Linked DNA regions of Drosophila melanogaster. The protein of the gene in region 2 interacts with the protein of the main gene of each other region in a pairwise test. Each region holds a gene or a part of one and is shown on either strand. Other genes may lie near its edges.

What was found. Proteins that work in one complex are often made in the same cells at the same time.
Region 1: the proteins of CG13996 (region 2) and Drep4 interact in a two-hybrid assay, tested with the Drosophila melanogaster proteins (one large-scale study listed by BioGRID).
Region 3: the proteins of CG13996 (region 2) and mRpS7 interact in a two-hybrid assay, tested with the Drosophila melanogaster proteins (one large-scale study listed by BioGRID).

Annotation. Positions count from the first base shown.
Region 1 is NT_033779.5:13,281,987-13,289,233, reverse strand, and holds Drep4 (DNA fragmentation factor-related protein 4), read left to right. Parts: upstream 1-2,771; 5' UTR 2,772-2,824; coding exon 2,825-3,064; exon of another isoform or gene 3,065-3,282; intron 3,283-3,408; exon of another isoform or gene 3,409-3,415; coding exon 3,416-3,539; exon of another isoform or gene 3,540-3,593; coding exon 3,594-4,582; 3' UTR 4,583-5,322; downstream 5,323-7,247. Other genes in the region: Uvrag (UV-resistance associated gene), read right to left, coding at 1-58, 144-554, 607-929, 993-1,860, 1,921-2,294.
Region 2 is NT_033779.5:6,018,181-6,023,567, forward strand, and holds CG13996 (uncharacterized protein), read left to right. Parts: upstream 1-2,654; 5' UTR 2,655-2,669; coding exon 2,670-2,984; intron 2,985-3,036; coding exon 3,037-3,492; 3' UTR 3,493-3,538; downstream 3,539-5,387. Other genes in the region: H2.0 (homeodomain protein 2.0), read right to left, coding at 497-1,013.
Region 3 is NT_033779.5:10,384,053-10,389,577, reverse strand, and holds mRpS7 (mitochondrial ribosomal protein S7), read right to left. Parts: upstream 2,917-5,525; 5' UTR 2,835-2,916; coding exon 2,791-2,834; intron 2,717-2,790; coding exon 2,104-2,716; 3' UTR 1,926-2,103; downstream 1-1,925. Other genes in the region: Cdk1 (Cyclin-dependent kinase 1), read left to right, coding at 3,401-3,549, 3,935-4,438, 4,496-4,736; CG5096 (uncharacterized protein), read right to left, coding at 4,951-5,382, 5,441-5,525.

The sequences.
Region 1 (7,247 bases), 7.3 Mb from region 2:
CAGTCGCGGGCGAAACTCATCCTCGCCATCTGAATAGGACCCCACCGAACGGCAAATGCTGCAAGAATATTACAATATATTATTATTAAATTTTATCCGGTAGTTTTTGTTTTTGGCTCTAAATATATGTATATATAGATTACCGTTGAGTTGACGCATAGCCTTCGATTGCCAGTGCCTCACTCACACCCGGCGGCAACAGCTGCTGGAGCAGTGCATCCTTGACCGCATTGACGCCAGTCGGCAGTGGCACATGATTCATGTCGACCGAAGAGTGCGATTGCGACAGGTGCGGCGCCGTCAACCCATTTGCCAAGCGTGCTTCTCCACAGCCAGCTCCAACTGCAGTTCCATCCCGTTCGTCGACCTCATCCCTTTGCGTTCGTTCGATGTAGCGAAGAGTGCTGAATAGCTCCAGCAGATTGCCAAAAGTGTTTCGCAGATCGCACTGGCCCGTGATGTCGAAGCACAGCTGCGAAACATTCTGGCGCAAAAGGTAGATGGCATACTTTGTTTGCTGCGACGGCAAAATGGAGCGTGTATACAGAGGAAATCTAAGATGGAACAATAAGATACCAAAAGGTAATATTTAGTCTGTGTGCTTACTCTCTTGTTGTGTACGTCAACTCTTTGATATCGTCCACTATCCTTGCTTTCGATGGCTCGTACAGAATACGGTTCCTCAGAGGTCGATCCATAATGATGGCTAACATCTGCACCAAATGGGCAACATAACCCAGTGCCGCACTCACTGCCAGCGGCGAGACGTTATCCAGAAGCTGTGCGTTTGCCGCCTGACGTGACTCGCTCGTGTATTGCTCCATGTGGGGGAAGGCGATGCCGCAGATACTAAATTGCCGACCGCCCACATTCTGGATGTTATAGATCTCCTGTAGCTCCAACACCAGTGTGGACATTCGGCGCTCCACCTTAAAAGGGTGAAAAGGTTTATTAATATACTTGTTTAATGTTATTTGATTCCGCAGCCCCACCTGCCGTTCTATTTGTCTTTTTTGATCGCGCTGTTCCAGATGTTGAGGTGCCAGGGTTCGTAGCTCCAGACGTTCTTTTTCCAGTCGATGTCGCTGGCTGTGGAGCTCCCATTGCTGTGCCTCCCGCTGTTCTCTCATCTCCTTCAGAAGTTGACGGGTGCGCTCGTTTCGTTGGCGAAACGTTTCCCGCTCCGCTTTAAGTAGCCGCTGTTGACTGCTTAGCGCTTCTATCCTTCTAGTTAGCTGCTGGGCATTATAAAGCGTGAGGGGCGCGATCTGCTGCTGCTCGGCGAGCAACACGCTCAGGGCGCGGCCCATGGAATGGTACTGATGGGCGGAGTAGTCGCCGGACAGCGATGTCGTGCGGGGCTTCAAGCGCAGCTCGTTCCTGGTCACACAGTGTACACTGAGGCGGGCTATTTCTCGGCAAACCTCGGCCATTTGACGCCGCTTCTGCTGATGCAAGCGTTGCAGACGTTGCAACGTGAGAAGCTTTTCGAGGTTGTTGCTTCGCCGAATCTCCTGCCGTTGGCACTTCAGCTGTGCATAGCGCATCGTACTCATTCGCAGCACGGGACTCGAACTACGACTAACGGCCGGCGAGTTTATGCCCTCATCCTGCGGCTCTTCTAGTTTCTCTTCCTCCGCATACTTTTGGTAGTGCAAATGCAGCTGCGACTGCAAGGCCTGCTCGCTTATCATCGACGGGGAGGCAAATTGCTCGCCATTCAATTGAAAGACCAAGCAATTTCGTCCGCACTGGGACAATGTGAGGGGAGACAGAGGTATAAGGCCGGAGAAGTAGACGCCCCAGCTGAACAGTAGTTCAGGAGGGCGTGGCAGCCTGCTGGGCGTTAACTGGGATCTTCTGGAAGTAAGTTGGTTGATGATAGCAGAGTTCTATTTGCAAGCAAAGTCTCCTATTTACCCGAAAACATCCTTATGTCTTTGCTCAACCTCAGGCGGTTGGCCATCTCTTCTTTCCGCCGAATAGTGCTTCCACACCTTGACACAGACACACTGCGCATTGGTTTTCCGCCAGGCCTCGTCGTCCGTACAAATCTCCGCCCACTTTTGCTGTTGGTGACGCTGCGGCAGCTTTTCGCTGGTGTAGAACGCTTCGCTAGCCTTGTCCGTGTGTAGTGTGTAGTAGAGGAGCACATCATCCGGATCATCTAGCTCCAGCGACTTCTCATGCGGCCAGGACTCAATATTGAATCCCTGAATTCTGTTAAGGTTCCGCAGTCGAAGTTGCTGGGTGGCTAGGGGCAGCCACTTGCGGCATCGCGGCCGTAGATTCATCGTAAAACGCCTTTCCGGGTGAGCTGCGGATTACGCGGAGCCCGTAGCCCAGATCATTGTACACTAAGACTACGTTTGTTATAGTTTTTCCACAGAAACTTTTAACAAAAAAAATGATTACCCGAACAGCTGTTTTTAGATGCATAAGTGCTGCAAAACACTGAAGGCAATAGTGGTGGGAAATGCGCCGTTCAACTTGTATTTTATTAATTTGGCTATTTTCATTTTATTAATTTACACATTATTTAATTTAAGAATAAATGAAAATTTTATCAATTTGAATTGATTAATAAAAATATAAAAAATATTTCGTTAATTACAAAACACGGGAAAAAATAAATTATTATTATATAGCTTTTTGCAATTTTTAGCTAAAATTGCAGCACAACTAAAGAATCTTTCAATGAGAATCTAGTGTTGAGAAGCGCGAAAAATGCCTTGTTCTGCTAGTTTATTTTGCTTTGTCCGCGGATAAGGAAACTTGCTGCGAGGACTACATTCCAAAGTTGACTTTATTATGAGCCAGAACGATGATCAGCTACATTAGAGATGCAATCATGTCACCGACAACACGCAGCAGCTCGAATAACAAGAAAAGCAGCCAGCCAACAGGCGAAGTTCTCAAGGATGTGAGCTCATCCGAATCCAGGGGAACAGCAGGTGCTCCAATGCGTGGCTACAAGGTTACTGACAACGAGCGAACGAGGAAATACGGAATCGGAGCCAATTCCCTGGAAATGCTGATAGCCAAGGCAAAAAGCAAGTTCCCGGTAAGAAAAAAAAAACAGGAAAAACTCCTGCGTAAAAGCGCGAAATATACACCCACCCACGTAGATGGGCTGAAAGTTCCTGGCTCTGGTAATTTTCAAGGCCATGTCCCTGGCAGTGGCTTCCGCGTTTGTTTGGCTCTCTTTCAATGCCACTAGTAAATGCCAATGCGCATGTCCTGTATAGTAGAGCTAACCACCTGTTGATGGAACGTCCTTGCCTGGCAAAAAAAAAAAAAGAGAAATGTGAAACAAACTGAAGGCCCCTGAACCAGGAATTGGGCGACCTGGCCTCGTTATAATTCGGCCATGTCAAGGGCATTACAATTAAATCGTTTTTTTTTTACCTTTTAGCTTCTCGAGCCACATTTGTATTTGGCTTCTGATGGCTTCGAGGTGTCCGACGATGAGTACTTAAAAAGCCTACCCGCCCAGACGCTGTTCATAGTGTCTGGCCCGGATGCAGTCATTACAACAGGTGAGCTGCAGTTTAAATATTTAACTTAATCACAATTAATCTGTCTTCTATTAGATGCCGATTTTGAGTTTGAGAAGATGCGACAACAATCGCCTTTGCTAAAGGTGGCTGACATTTTCTACGATTTTATCGAACAGCATCCGGAAAAGTTCCGCCGCATGATAACGGAGTATGAACACCAAAAGCAGCGACGCGTCCTGGATAACAGCAAGACCCACCTCAGCTTAAAGGCCGAGCACGTGGAGTGGTTCACGGGCGGCGAGGAGCGCTTCCACTCTAAGGAGGAAGCTATGGCCACACGTGCCCAGACACGTGTGCGAGGCTACTACTATAAGGCCAAGGAGGAGCTGACCCGCAATCCCTTGTACCGCCAAAATGCCAAGGCCCGACAAGTGATAAACTCTGTGCTGGAGAAGTTTCGATACCTGCTCATCGGTTGCGACTTTTTCTCCATGATGTTTGACCGGAATTGCAAGCAAAAGCATGAATTCCTGAAGCAGCACTTGGGCGACGAGGAAACAGACGCTGGCAGGATACCCAGCAAGAGACTGAGGCAGGTGATTAGGGAGTACACCAAGGAAAACTGCATCCTCGACGAATGGTCCACTTCCTTGTGCTCCGACTTGGGTGACTTCTATTGCCAGGGCTCCTATTCGGAGAATGGCAACAGCTGCTCTAAGCAGCACACTATTAATCCGTACGCTTCGCGTGAGAATCTCATTTTGTTTCAGGTCTGGAATCTGGACCACCAAATCGAACTGTGCCGCACAATCCTTCCCGCACTTGTTGCAAATGTGGAAGAACTTGTGAGTCATCCGCAGACCAAGTGTTCAATTCATAAGAAGCAAGTGGTCGATATCTCAGTACTGGAGTACTTTCTAGAAATATTCTCCCTAAAGAATCTCAAACTAGTGCACATTGTCTGTCATGAGAAGGCGCAGCGCTCAAACCGTTCGAATGGTCGCCTACTGTGCTCCGACTGTCATGAGTATCGCATTGTGCAAGAGCTGATGGAAGTCCAGGTGGACAGTCTAGCCACTTAAATGGTATGTGAGAAATATATAAAAGTTACCTAGCCAAGCAATATTGTACACAATAACTTTACAAAATGTATCTACGAGTTTTGTTGCTATTTTTAAACAAATATTGTATATTCAGTTGTTAAGCATATTATATTGCTGATCTCATATGGGATAAGTTGTACAAATGGAAATTATCTCGATGCCAACTATAAAAACTTACTGTTGAAGGTTTTTCATAGTAAATACGTAAACTATTAACATACTTAACATATGCATTTAATGTTCATATAGCTTTTCAAACTATTCAAATTAAGTGACTATGCAATATCGGTATATAATCTAGAGTTAAAAGTTAGTTGATTGTAACGCTAGTAGCTAACAATTTAAAGTTGGCGTTACACATCGATCAGCAAGTCCAAACTATGAAATATGAAAATATTGTATGTTATGAAGTATGTATACTCATGTAACGAATTTAAACAAAAACGTAACAGTATGAAAAGGTTTTGCTACACTTGGCTTCTCTGCACCTCTACAAGTGTTTTATTTTTGTATGGGCCATGTATTCAAGAGCCAAATCGTCGGTTTTATTTCCATCGATATTGTATACAAACAAGTACAAGTTTTTTGATTTGACTTCTTTATTTACTAAAAATGTTTACTGCATATAAAATTGTACAACACAAAATATAGTTTATTTATGTATCAAATAATAATATTCAAATAAATGTGCAGAACGTTCGTATGCATACGAACTAAGTAAAATAATAAATATTGATGACAAACAAAAGATAATATTCATAAATGAAATAATATTGTTCGCAAGTAACAAAAATATTTAATATATTATTAGTCGTGTTTGATGTGCGCTTTCGTGTTATCCGGATACATATCAAGCATAGTCGATTTCTTGGATTTTGTTTCGTTTCGTTGCTACCTCATTGCACCTGCATTCTTTATCTTAACTTTTAGGATTAGTATATATTCGCTTTCGCTATTTGCTTCGTAGTTGTGTTAGAATTGTTTTGTATGGTTTTAGTGCTGCTACCAAATCGCGTTCAACAATAAAAACTTTCGATTCTCAGTTACAATGATGTTTGTTAGTGTAAAGAAATTTTACTAAAAACTTGTTCCCGTTCCCAAGTTATTTGATTGTGGCGATCCTCAGAGTGTCTGGTACTTAAACTACATAACTATAACAAGCAATCTGATTAATATTCAGTTTCGTTTCGATTTCTTTATGATGCTGTTGAGTTGCTATAATTGATTTCTATGGCGTTGAGAAATAATTATAGATCCGATTGACCAGGTCCTGAAAAAGATTAAACCAAGAAGAGTGTTACTTTAAAATGGTTTTAACTGGCAGTGACAAACAAATAAAGCTAACACTAAATTGTGGAAACTTTCCAGTCTTGACTTGGCCATGAACACCGATTCAGGTTCAGACTTACGTACATAAAAAGTAAACGTAAAAAGTAAATAAAAAATATATAACAAAATCAGAAATATTGAAGCAGCAACTGAGAAAGTGCAAGTGCCAGGCAGCCAAAACAATTTTGAGAGAAAACTTCACCTTTTTTTTAAACTTTTGTTTGTATTATTCATTCAATTCAGTTCAATTCGATTTAAGTTTTGGGGTAAAAGCCATTCATTGTCATTATTAAAGTTAACGATTAATGTTTGTTAAAATATTTATTTCTTATTGTGTGTATAAAACAAGTTAATCGAGTATAAGAGAAAGAAACATTTAATTATGCATTTGTAAACTCATGAATGGTTAATGTAACGAACGAGTTTTCGACAAGTCATATTGTACAATTTTTCACTTTATATTTTTTCACTCCATTATTTCGATAGTTTTTATTTATGGTCTCAACAACAAAAGAGTAATCTTCATTCGTTGTTCTTTGCAAGGTGGAGTTTGCTCTCCAAGCTCAAGTTTTTAGGGAAGCATTTGGGGAAGGAACTACAATAGTGTAATAAAAATATTTGCGATGTAAAAGGGATTTTTTTTTATAAATATCTATGGGTCCATTGAACAATAATAAATGGGAAATGGTAAATGCATTTACTCATAGTATTTACTTTAAATTATTTGTTGATTATTTGCGCATACAAACCTGAGTTAATTTGTTCGACTTCAATTGCAAAGATCGCAAATATTTTTATAGACAAATCAAAAATAAGAATACGGCACACATAATAAAGTCAAACAGCGGCGAAAATAAAATTAAATACATAGAATAGAAAGAGGACAATTTTTGGAATATTATGAAAACATTCAATTAGTTAAAACTTGGTTTTGGGTAATTTTTAATAATTGCAATTTTAGGTACCTTAGGATTTTGAACGAGTTTTACAAAATCATTGAGTTGAGATGAAATTGGTTTTTATTTTGTTGTTTATTGTGGCGCTTGATAGTTTTTTTTTTTCAGTTTTATATGCTTGTTATTATTTGGTTCGATTTCATGAGTTACGGCTTACAAATTTTAAAATACTCATGTAAGTTTAGAAAATGATTTCGGTTGGTTTTTTGGGTTTGCGCTTTACTGAGGTAACAAACGAACGAACGAATGAACGATTTCCTTTCATTGGTTTCAATTGGTTTATTTACATGTTTAATTAGATTTAGTTTATTAATGTGTTGAGTGTATTCGATATTCATAATGTACAATGTGTGCGGATA
Region 2 (5,387 bases):
TGCAGAATGATTGACAAATCGCAATATCTGATTAGCTTTGATCAGTTTTATTGGCGCTGCAAGTGCACACAACATACGGGGAGATTGAAATAGTGCAGATGATAGATCGTATCTACAAGATAGAGTCATGGGTATAAAATATTATTTTGATAAGTGGTACGTTGTTGGAACTAGAAGAGGTTCACTGCGAACGAATGATGTTTCAATAGCTTTCTGTATGGAGCTGATTCCTTTTAAGTTTAAAAGTATCTTAAAAATACACTTAGGTACCTATAATCCATGTAATACGGATCAGTACCAATATAGTTCATATTAATTTAAGGCATCCCTTACAGAGATTAAATGTTTTCCTTCTATCAACTCGGTTTGCTCATGATGTTCCAAATGCCGTGCACTTAATGGTAATTTTGAATGATTTACTTTCAAATGGACATTTTTTTTGTAAAACCTGCTCGGATTCAAAGGATGTTCCCTTTTGAGTATAGTGCATCCTTACCGTGTTCTGCTGCCCGAATTGGCGTCGGTCTGAGCACTGATTTGTAATCCATATAGGGGCCAGGGAACAGCTTATCCAGACCCACGAAGGGGTACGTGTGCGATGAAGTGGGTGTGAAAGTGGGCGGAAGCGTGGCATGTCCAAACCTACGGGATTCGGCATTCGCCTGGCTGAAGCAGTGGGGGAAGGAGCAGCAGGCTAGAATGCTGCCATCGCAGCATGACTTGGTCGAGGGCGAGGAGGAGCTCTGCCGGTGGGATTCCTCGGGTTCCGAGCCCAACAGACGATCCACACTGAAGCTCAGCTTGACTTTGGTGGTGCTCGTGGCGCTGGTTGGCGACGTACTGACTATGGTAGTCGAGGCACAGGATTCTTTGGTGGGCAGCTCATGATCGACATTCACTGGATCGGGACACTTTGCCAGCGTTGGATTCACTTCACACTCGCCGTACATGTGAGTGCTGAGGTTCTCGGGCATACTCTGTTCCATGCTGGCGGCACTCTCGTGTAGTAACATTGTCCGGATATGTGTTGTATATGGTTTCTATCTACGAATCTCGACACAGGACACTCAAAACTGATTTCACACGTTCACAATCGATAGGGACTATCTATCATGTCCAAAACACCGTCGCTGTGCACCAATAAAACGATCGCGAATTTTGGCTTAGGTCTCGTGCACCTCCGATTAAACCGCCTTGCAAGACATCCCACTCAGAACTGATCGGAACCGGCCAGGGAGCACGCTCAACCAGCCATCGATTGCCGATCGGCCAGCCAACGCGGAACAGTCTGTTGGCGGTGGGGTTAATCTCGCTGAGATTGTGTATTCCTGGTGCTGACAGTGGGGCAAGGAGTGCGAGATGATCAGGATATAATGCTAACAATAAATAATGGCTATATGTTCGATATACAGGATATACAAACCAGGATATTTTTTTATCCAACGTGTATATTGTTTATAAAGTAATACTCAAGAAGAGTAATACTATCAAGAAAGATTAGATTTTTGGGCTTCGGTTGGTGGTAACATTGGTTTCTATTCCGCTGAAGATCTATATACCTCTAGAAAGTGCCCTAAAATTATGTTAATCCACTTACCATAGACCTGATCCCACTGTAGCCACACACAGATGGGATACCTTGCCATGCCGATCGCTTGTTTACACACAAGCATGCCGCTGTGTCATTAGCTCAGTCGGAGATCGTTTCCTCGAGCGCAGCCGAGATTTGTTTACCGATTTCTCCATATGTTCCCGTACTCCCACACACAGACACACACACCCCATCCGAATTCCGGTTTCCCTGCGCAGAGGCCATGTCGAGTGGCTCGTGGTTCGTGATTTCTGGCCAATGCGATCGATCCGCAGTGGTGGGCGGAGCCACTGGTGGCGCTGATGCGGCATCTCGCTTTCGCGCCCAAGGAATGTGCCTTCCATTGGCTTGGGATTGAGCGATCTGCGCGAACTCCACCTGCTCCACGCTGTCTGGGTTCAATGAAGTGGGTAACCGGGACTGGTGGTCATAAATCAGAAACCGCATTCCACAAGCGGAAATCCGCAAAACGGAACACGAACGGATCGTCGGGGTTGGAAAACTTAAGTAGAAATGTGTAAATTGCGGAGCGAAACTGGCGTTATTAATAGGAAAATTGTCGTGACTACCTTAAGATAGCATACTTTCCGGCACAAAACTCCCATCCAAGCGGGCGGATTTGGTGCCAAAAACACCCTAGCACCACAAGCCCACAAAGTGACCCAGAAAATGTGGAATATGCAAATGCAATGGCAGCGGAAAATCCATCGCCAGTCGGTGACACTTTTATCCTCTTCAAAGTGAAGTCCGATTAATAATAAAATAATCCTTTTTACTTAAAAAAAAAGATTCAGATACATTCCAGGATATGCCGAACGTTCAAAGATACTGATTGGAAAGAGCATGGCTTAAATTCCATTAACCCATTTAAAGTGCAAATTGAGCCTTAGTGATTGTAGCCAACAACTTTTCCCGGAAAATTATAGGGCATACAACAAATGAAAGCGAAACGCAATCAAACTATGTAAACAGACACGAACGCCACTTATTCTTGAGGAATCGCTGGAAACCGCAACCAAATCGTTGCGGGGCAACTCAATTCACTTTGGCCCAGGAACAGTGCGCTGCCACCACTCGAATGGAGTCGTTCTCAGCGTCCAGGTGCTCCACCATACCGTCACCACTGCCGCACAGTGCCAGTGGCATGGACAGTCCGGATATCTGTGAGCCGCCGCAGGATGAGCAGGAGTTCTGCTTTCGCTATCCCAGCTACATGTTTCCGGACGTGGAGTACGACAAGGAGGATGTGCCGCTACCCTTCAAGGCCTCGCCGGACTCGCTCTTCAATCTCTGCGCCGCCGTCGTGGATTCCCAAGCCCGCACTGAGGTCTTCAAGTGGAGCATCAACGATGTGACCGACTGGCTGCGCAACTTTGGTTATCCCGAGTACGAGGTGGGCTAAGATTCTTACTCACTATGTTGGGTAACCTATAGCTTCGTTACAGCAAACTTTTCGGGAGAACTACATTGATGGACACAAGCTGCTGAATCTGGACGCAGTTGCTCTGGTTGCGCTCAACGTTCGCAACTTCGAGCACATCCGCCACCTGGGCCGCGGCATACGAGCGCTTTACAGGAAGGAGCTGCAAACGGCGACGGAGACCAAGCAGCAGAGTGAGGTCTATAAGACATTCCGGGCCCGCACTGGCCGAAGGTACGAGGGATTGCGGGAGACGGAGCTACTGGGCCGCATGCACATGATTCGCTCCGTTTTCCGCGACGTCAACGACTGGGATCTGATGGAGCTGCACATGTCCAGGGCGCCGGTGAGGCGGTATCGCGAGATCGTCGCTGGCTCCAGACGCTACAACCTCTATGGCCCATCGACAGCGCGCCGGGAACCCATCATTACGGACGATGTGGATGCCACACCGTGGTACAACTTCGAGGATTGCTACTGATTCACTTTCAACTTGAAATCGTGGTTAGCTTTTGGAGCAATAAAGTAACTTCTTTAGTGGACAATTAAATTTTAATTGAAGGAACGGTCAGCTTAAATCACTTTCTCTGCGCCATCGACGATAAGCACAAATTGGTGGCTCTCCAAGTCAAATCCTACGACTGCCCCACCTCATTGGATCACCGATGCTGCCCAATCAGTCGACACGGCGCATTGATCACTTATCGCTCTGAATTGTTGCTTTTGCTGTTGTTTTGTGGAGGGGTAGTGGGGGACTGGGAACTGGGGACTATAGGATCAGTGTTGTTACCGTCGAGAGCCGTCCGCATTCGCGTCCGCTCACGTGTTCAAATTTATTGATTGTTCTGCTCACAAGACACGGCGTTCCAGCTTTTCCTCCGCAATCCAGCGAACTGAGCTTCGCTCTGAGTTTTGAGATCTGGGCACGGCGTCCAGCTGTGCGGCATGGGAGACGTACGTGTGGTCGGCTTATGTTATATTTCCCGACATCTTGTGTGTCCGTCGATCGGTGGGTGAGCATAGCATAGACCGAGATTGAGTCCCCTGCTCAGAGCTATGTACGCCTAGATGCAACCTAAGACGCTGCCACGCCGTCACACACTGGCCATGCAAATTGCCTTTGGCCTTTATTAACTTAGGCCATAGGATTGAGACTACCTTAATAACTCGTTCCGTTAACACTTTATTATGTTCGAGGCGCATAAATCGTTCCATCACCCGGACATGGTCCCGAGGAGGTCCCCAAGTCCCCCACTCATCCAGTTCCCTAGTTCCCCGAGTTCCCAAGTTACCAAGTTCCAGAGTGTCTGCGTTCGGGCCAACGTTGGCGATTATGATTTATCGCATTTTAATCAATTTAAAATGTTTAAACGATACGAATCGGAAGAAATTATGAATGTGTTGCTGTCTCCAGGCTCCACAGTAGGCCACCAATAACAACAGCCACATAACCCACACCAAACTGATACCCATATACCCATGCCCATACCTCTACCCCTACCCATGAGAGCCATGCCCGACGAATACCCGATTCGAGGACCCAGCGATCATCGTCAGCAAGCGTTATCCGACGCGTACCTCGTTTGTAAGTCTCCACCACATCTCGTGTTACCTACGGTCTCGATCGCCTCGCAGACCTACGCGCTACATATTAGTCAGAGATCAGGGACGGATTCGAAAGTGGGTTCTTCCACTAACTGGTCAAAAGTAACACCACTCTGGATTAAAGGGCAGAGGTACATTTCTATGGTCACCAAGTAAGATTATGTTAATTTATTATGCCTTTAAATATCGGAAAGGCATTTTTTCAATAATATATTATAATAATGTATAATGTAAAAGTATTTTTAAGTCAAAGAACTTAATGGTGGAAGACCAAATTTCATCCCACCAATTGCCTTGGTATGAACACAGCGCCATAGAACCGGACCTGGATTAAGCCAGCAATACCTTTCGCGGATCGGGGATGAGGGATGATCGCGTGCTGCGCGGACTGGGCGACTGAGTTGCAGAGTGCGTTTCGGGCGCGACGACGGCGCAGCGACGATTATGATTAAAGATGATAAGCGAAATATTTTTATCATTTCTCAAATTAACATAAACCATATGTGATTATCACACAATAAGCGCAGTTGGTCTGTTGGACGAGCTCCAATCCCCCCATTCCACACGCTGGCCTTTTTTGTTGCTCGCTTTTTATAAGCTTTTATGCCCCTCACTGCGGTCGGGATAAGTTATGGCATTGCTGTGGGATTTGGTCGTGGCGTTGGTCAGGATTCGGTCGCGGCAGTGTCAATGGCATCGGCGAATTTATGAGGATTTATCTGCGGTCGGACCGTTGGATCCTGGATCTTGCATTCGGGGTCGTTCTGGTGT
Region 3 (5,525 bases), 4.4 Mb from region 2:
ATAGGCATTTTACAATGATCCAAACTTCAAAGAAGTCTTTTTTACTGTTGACCCAATTATCGAATTAGGATTAATTTTATTTTTTAAAAAATACTTAAATGATATAAAGTATGCAACTACAACTGATTATATTTCTATAAACAAGCGCACTAGGAAAATTGAACTCGTCCTAAAAGTGGGCGTGGCAAGTGTTGGAACCTTTCCTACCTGTAAAATAGTTTATAAATGTGTGCTAGCACAACTAAAACTGTTATATTTGGTTGGTTTAATAAAAATATGCTTCATACAAATATTTGTATTTACATATTTTTTTGGGAACCCATGTTATACCTGACCTTTCTTGTTTTATATCAGAATTCCTAGTCAAACAAATACTTAACTTCTTATGCTAACCTTACAGATAACAATAATAATTAGTTCAATTCATTAGTTTAAATGCCTAATTTTTTCCAAAGATTAAACATTAAAAATTAACAAATTGTTTAAAACTCACGGAGCCTTTTAATGCTATAATCATTAATGATATTAATCTATTTAACAAACTAACACAATACCGATTCTTGAAATGTTTCTACACCTGATTCACAACATTTTCCATGAACACATGTACATGATACTTACATTAAATATACACGTACATGGTATATGAAAACCGTGAGTTTGTTGCACGAAAATAAAACTTAAAATAACTTCCCAAACGAACAAATGCACACGCACACACACACACACAAGCACACGCACTTGGAGAATAAAGTTAATTCATACGCTCTTACACCCATTTACTCGTTTGTACATAAGTAGTTACTTTGTTTACGAGCATTCGTATATACATATACATACATACATGTGTATGTATGCAGAATCATGAAAATGGTATCCACATACATTTAAGAGGAATTAATTCGTACATAAGGCTGTATACGCACGGGTATATACACACATTCAACAAATAAACGTATGCAGATCCATGGGCAGCATAAAAAGTGTAATCGAACGGCTAGAAAACATACCCTGCACCGAAATAAAATACATTTCGTGAAAAGTACTCACCCTAATATCCACTGTTAATTCTATGTATGCAATTCCTTTTGTTGCAGCGAGTGTTGACGTTGAGCCACCAGCAGCGTATGTATTACATATACATATCTCTTTCGTATTAATACCGAGAATCCTTGTGTTTTCAACAACAGTTTGATAAGTTTACCCAACTTTTTTTTTTGTAATGTCGTCCAGTCGACTTCAACTAGTAGTACGATTATGTGTTTTGGGATTATATCAAAATGCACAGCTAAAGTAAACCGTTTTGCGATAAACTCTTCGTTTACACATTGCAAATATGCATGACACTTCTATTAACTATTTTAGTTCACTGCGCTTATGCGAATTTCAACTATAGGTAAAAAATTCTTTATTTATCATTCAGCTCGTTTTAATTTTCGTGTGCTCGGGATCGCCATCTTTGTTCTCTTCGTGCGTCATCTGTAGCGTTGCGATTCGATAAGAATCGATAGTCCCTTCGATAGACGTACACCTCGACAACCTTAACGCACTGTTTACACCGTTGTCGTTGCGCGATAAACAGGTTACATTTTTTAACTTTGCACTTGAAAAAATATGTTTTTGAGACAATCAGGATAATTTATTTGTATAAAATTGCATTTTATACTGAAATTAAATAGAAAAATTCTAAAAAGAGTAGACTCTGTTATTAAGCTGTGCTATAATTTTAAATTAAATTCAGAAGCTTAAAACACGACGAACCAGGTAAATGGGTTGAAGAAATTTATATAAAAACTTAGTATAAGTGTAATAAGAAAAACTTTGGGTTTCAATAGCTATAACACCATTTGGAAAATCCAATTTTCAAATCTACTATAAACAACGTATAAGGAAAAATAAAGAAAAAATATTAGAAATGTGTTTTTATAATGGTATCATAGCTTCATACAATTTTACTAAGGTCCTCGTTTTTAGTCCCCATAAATCCAGGAATTATTTCGATATTCCGCTCTCTTAAGACATTCCCCGGACACAAATCCTAATCATAGATATTAACAGGTATATGAAAAGTTTATTGCATTGGAAAAACAGTTTGTTGTGCATTTAGCTCCATCGGTAATGTGCGTAGGCGCGGTTGCTTTCGCACAGCCTGTGCAGATCGTCCTTTCGCTTGATGACCCTTCCCTGGCCATGGGCTGCGTCGAGAATCTCCCAGGCCAACTTTTCCGGCAGGGACACCTTACGCTCCTTCTCGCGGGCAGCTTCCAAGAGCCACTTCATGGCCAGAAAATATGACCGCTTCGTGGTGATGGGAACAGGGACTTGATAGGTGACACCACCACGTTTTATGGCGGTCACTTGAAGGAGCGGTCGGCAGTTTTCAACCGCTTGTTTCAGAAGCGTTTCGGGATTGGTGTTTATGGTTGTCTTCTCCCCTTTGGCCAGATTCATGTGCTCCGTCTGGGTTCGTTTTATTAGCTCCAGCGTCTTGGACAAAAGCGTTCTGGCCAAGGCACTGTTCCCCTTTTTCGTTATATAATTGATCATTTTATGTTTTGTATCGTCGTGAAAGATGGTATCAGACGATTTGTTGACCGCCGCCTTGATGGGCACATGGTAAAGCTTGGACAGATCATTCTTTTGCTCTAGTTGTTTATATTTTTGTACAATTGGTTCGACATAGTGTGTGGGATACACCGACATCAATCGAAGGCAGCTACAATAAACAAATGGGTGATCAGTCATTTGTGTTTTTAGAGATAAGTAACACTTTAGAGAAGTTTAACTTACCTGAGCCTTGAAGTTTTCTCTGCAATCCTACCTAAAAGCGACATGTTTACATCGTCTGCTGTGTCGGCAAAAAATAAAAAAACTATGTTATATATATGTTATGCACATTTGCGGCATGCATATAGGTGTGTCAAGATATCGACAAAGAGCTTAGTAATTTTGAAACAACAAAAATGAAGTAAAACAGTTGCGGTATTCCAATTACATTTTTTAAATTAATTTCTTTAGTACCGTACTACTGGTACTCACCTTCAAAAGATATAAAATAGAAATTAATTGCACCAAAAACTCATAAGTTAATTAATAGTATATTAGCAGAAACGTTTGTCTCCGAACTCAAACAAAGTGATGTCTTAATTAATTGAAATCACTATAAAAAAAAGCGTGGAATTTTACAGTACACTAAAATTAACTTTAAAAAAATTAACAACATTTTTAAGATACAGCAATTCAATAAGTTGCCTGAATATTGAGTTTCATTCCCACATTCCAAATGAATAAATGTAGCTAGCTTAGCATCGTTTAAACTGTCTGGTAATACTAGAGCATATACGTCAAAAACGCGCTAATTTAAAAGTCGGTGGCTTGCAAAGAAATAGCTTAATAAATTATGGAGGATTTTGAGAAAATTGAGAAGATTGGCGAGGGCACATATGGCGTGGTGTATAAGGGTCGCAACCGCCTGACGGGCCAAATTGTGGCAATGAAGAAAATCCGCTTGGAGTCCGACGACGAAGGCGTTCCATCAACCGCGATCAGGTAAAATGCCGCGGCTTGGACGCCCAAGCCTCAAAATGTTTCATGTTCTTTCGCGACTTTTCCATTCAAATGGCTTATATGCTTAATTGAAAGTATGTTCCTTGACATCTTATGGGTTGGTTTGAAGATTTTGCAATATTGTTTTTAATTTATACTGTGGAAGTCTAGCATAATTATGTTACGGCTTATGTTCATCATACATATGTGTGTGTATGTACAATCCTATATGCGTACTTATGCTCATGTGTACATCATCATACTTTCTATTTATGTTTATTAATTGGAAGCCTGCGAATACTTTCTGGTTCAACTGATAGACCAATAACTAAAATACTTTAATCACATGTTTTTTCTATAATGTAGTAATATTTAATATCCATTACAGAGAAATTTCGTTGCTTAAGGAGTTGAAACATGAAAACATTGTCTGTTTGGAGGATGTTTTGATGGAGGAGAACCGCATATACTTGATCTTTGAATTCCTATCGATGGACCTCAAGAAATACATGGATTCGCTGCCAGTTGATAAGCACATGGAGAGTGAATTGGTCCGTAGCTATTTGTACCAAATAACTAGCGCCATTCTTTTCTGCCATCGTCGGCGAGTACTTCACCGTGATCTTAAGCCGCAGAACTTACTAATCGACAAGAGTGGCCTCATAAAAGTCGCCGACTTTGGACTTGGCCGATCCTTTGGCATTCCGGTGCGCATTTATACGCACGAGATTGTTACCTTGTGGTACAGAGCGCCGGAGGTGCTACTGGGTTCACCCCGGTATTCCTGTCCCGTCGATATCTGGTCCATTGGATGCATATTCGCGGAGATGGCAACGAGAAAGCCGCTATTCCAGGGTGACTCGGAAATTGACCAGTTGTTTAGAATGTTTAGGTAACCACAGGTAATTTACTTTCTATTCCCTGTGATACTCACACTCATTGATTGCAGAATTCTGAAAACACCTACCGAAGACATTTGGCCGGGCGTTACTTCGCTACCCGACTATAAGAACACGTTCCCCTGCTGGTCCACGAACCAATTGACCAATCAGTTAAAGAATCTCGATGCGAATGGTATTGATCTCATACAAAAGATGTTAATCTACGATCCAGTTCATCGCATTTCCGCCAAGGACATTTTGGAGCATCCCTATTTCAATGGTTTTCAATCGGGCTTAGTTCGAAATTAACGTTCGGTATTCTCGTTTGACTTTAACTAAGAATTTTAAAACAAGAGATCTTGGTATCTAATCTAAAGCAAAATAGCCGTAAATAAAACTAAGGGTGTAAAACAATCAACGTTTACTTAATTTATGTAAGTGTATTTACAGATTTACGCCAAATTACCAGCGCTCTAACAGAATAATAAGGCTTCAAGGCTTTAATTATTATACAAAAAGAAAGTTAAATATGGAAATCCTCGTTGAAACTAGTCCTATTATAGAGAGCACTGCTAGCACCGCTGTCATGACGTCTAAAGACGCCAAAGCAGCCGCGCCTCTTCATCACGTAAGCACCAATGATGGTCGGCACCGCGATGAGCAGGACAACCAAGAGTCCAACCCATATAAGACTGCCCGTCGAACTTTCTATCATATGTTCATTCGCCACTCTGAGCAGCGTAACATCGTTTAACTTGTTCGGACCGCCACATTTGACATCTTTGGCCAGAACGGGCGTGGTCTTGTTGATTCGATCTATCAAGACGTTGATCAAGAAGTCATTGGATTCGTCGCAATTCCACGGGTTGAATCTAAGATCCAGAGCCTTAAGTTTATCCCAGCGCACTAGTAGTTCTTTCGGCAAAGTCGACACGTTGCAATTATTCAAGTAAACCTAAAAGTTTATGTTATTTAGTTGATTAAAGCTCTACATGCTTTTGCACTTGAATTACCTTTTCCAATGGCGGGTAGTCCAAGTACTGGCCACCAGTTACGTTCTTGGATAGAGCCTCCTCATCAATTTCATTTAGCAGTTTG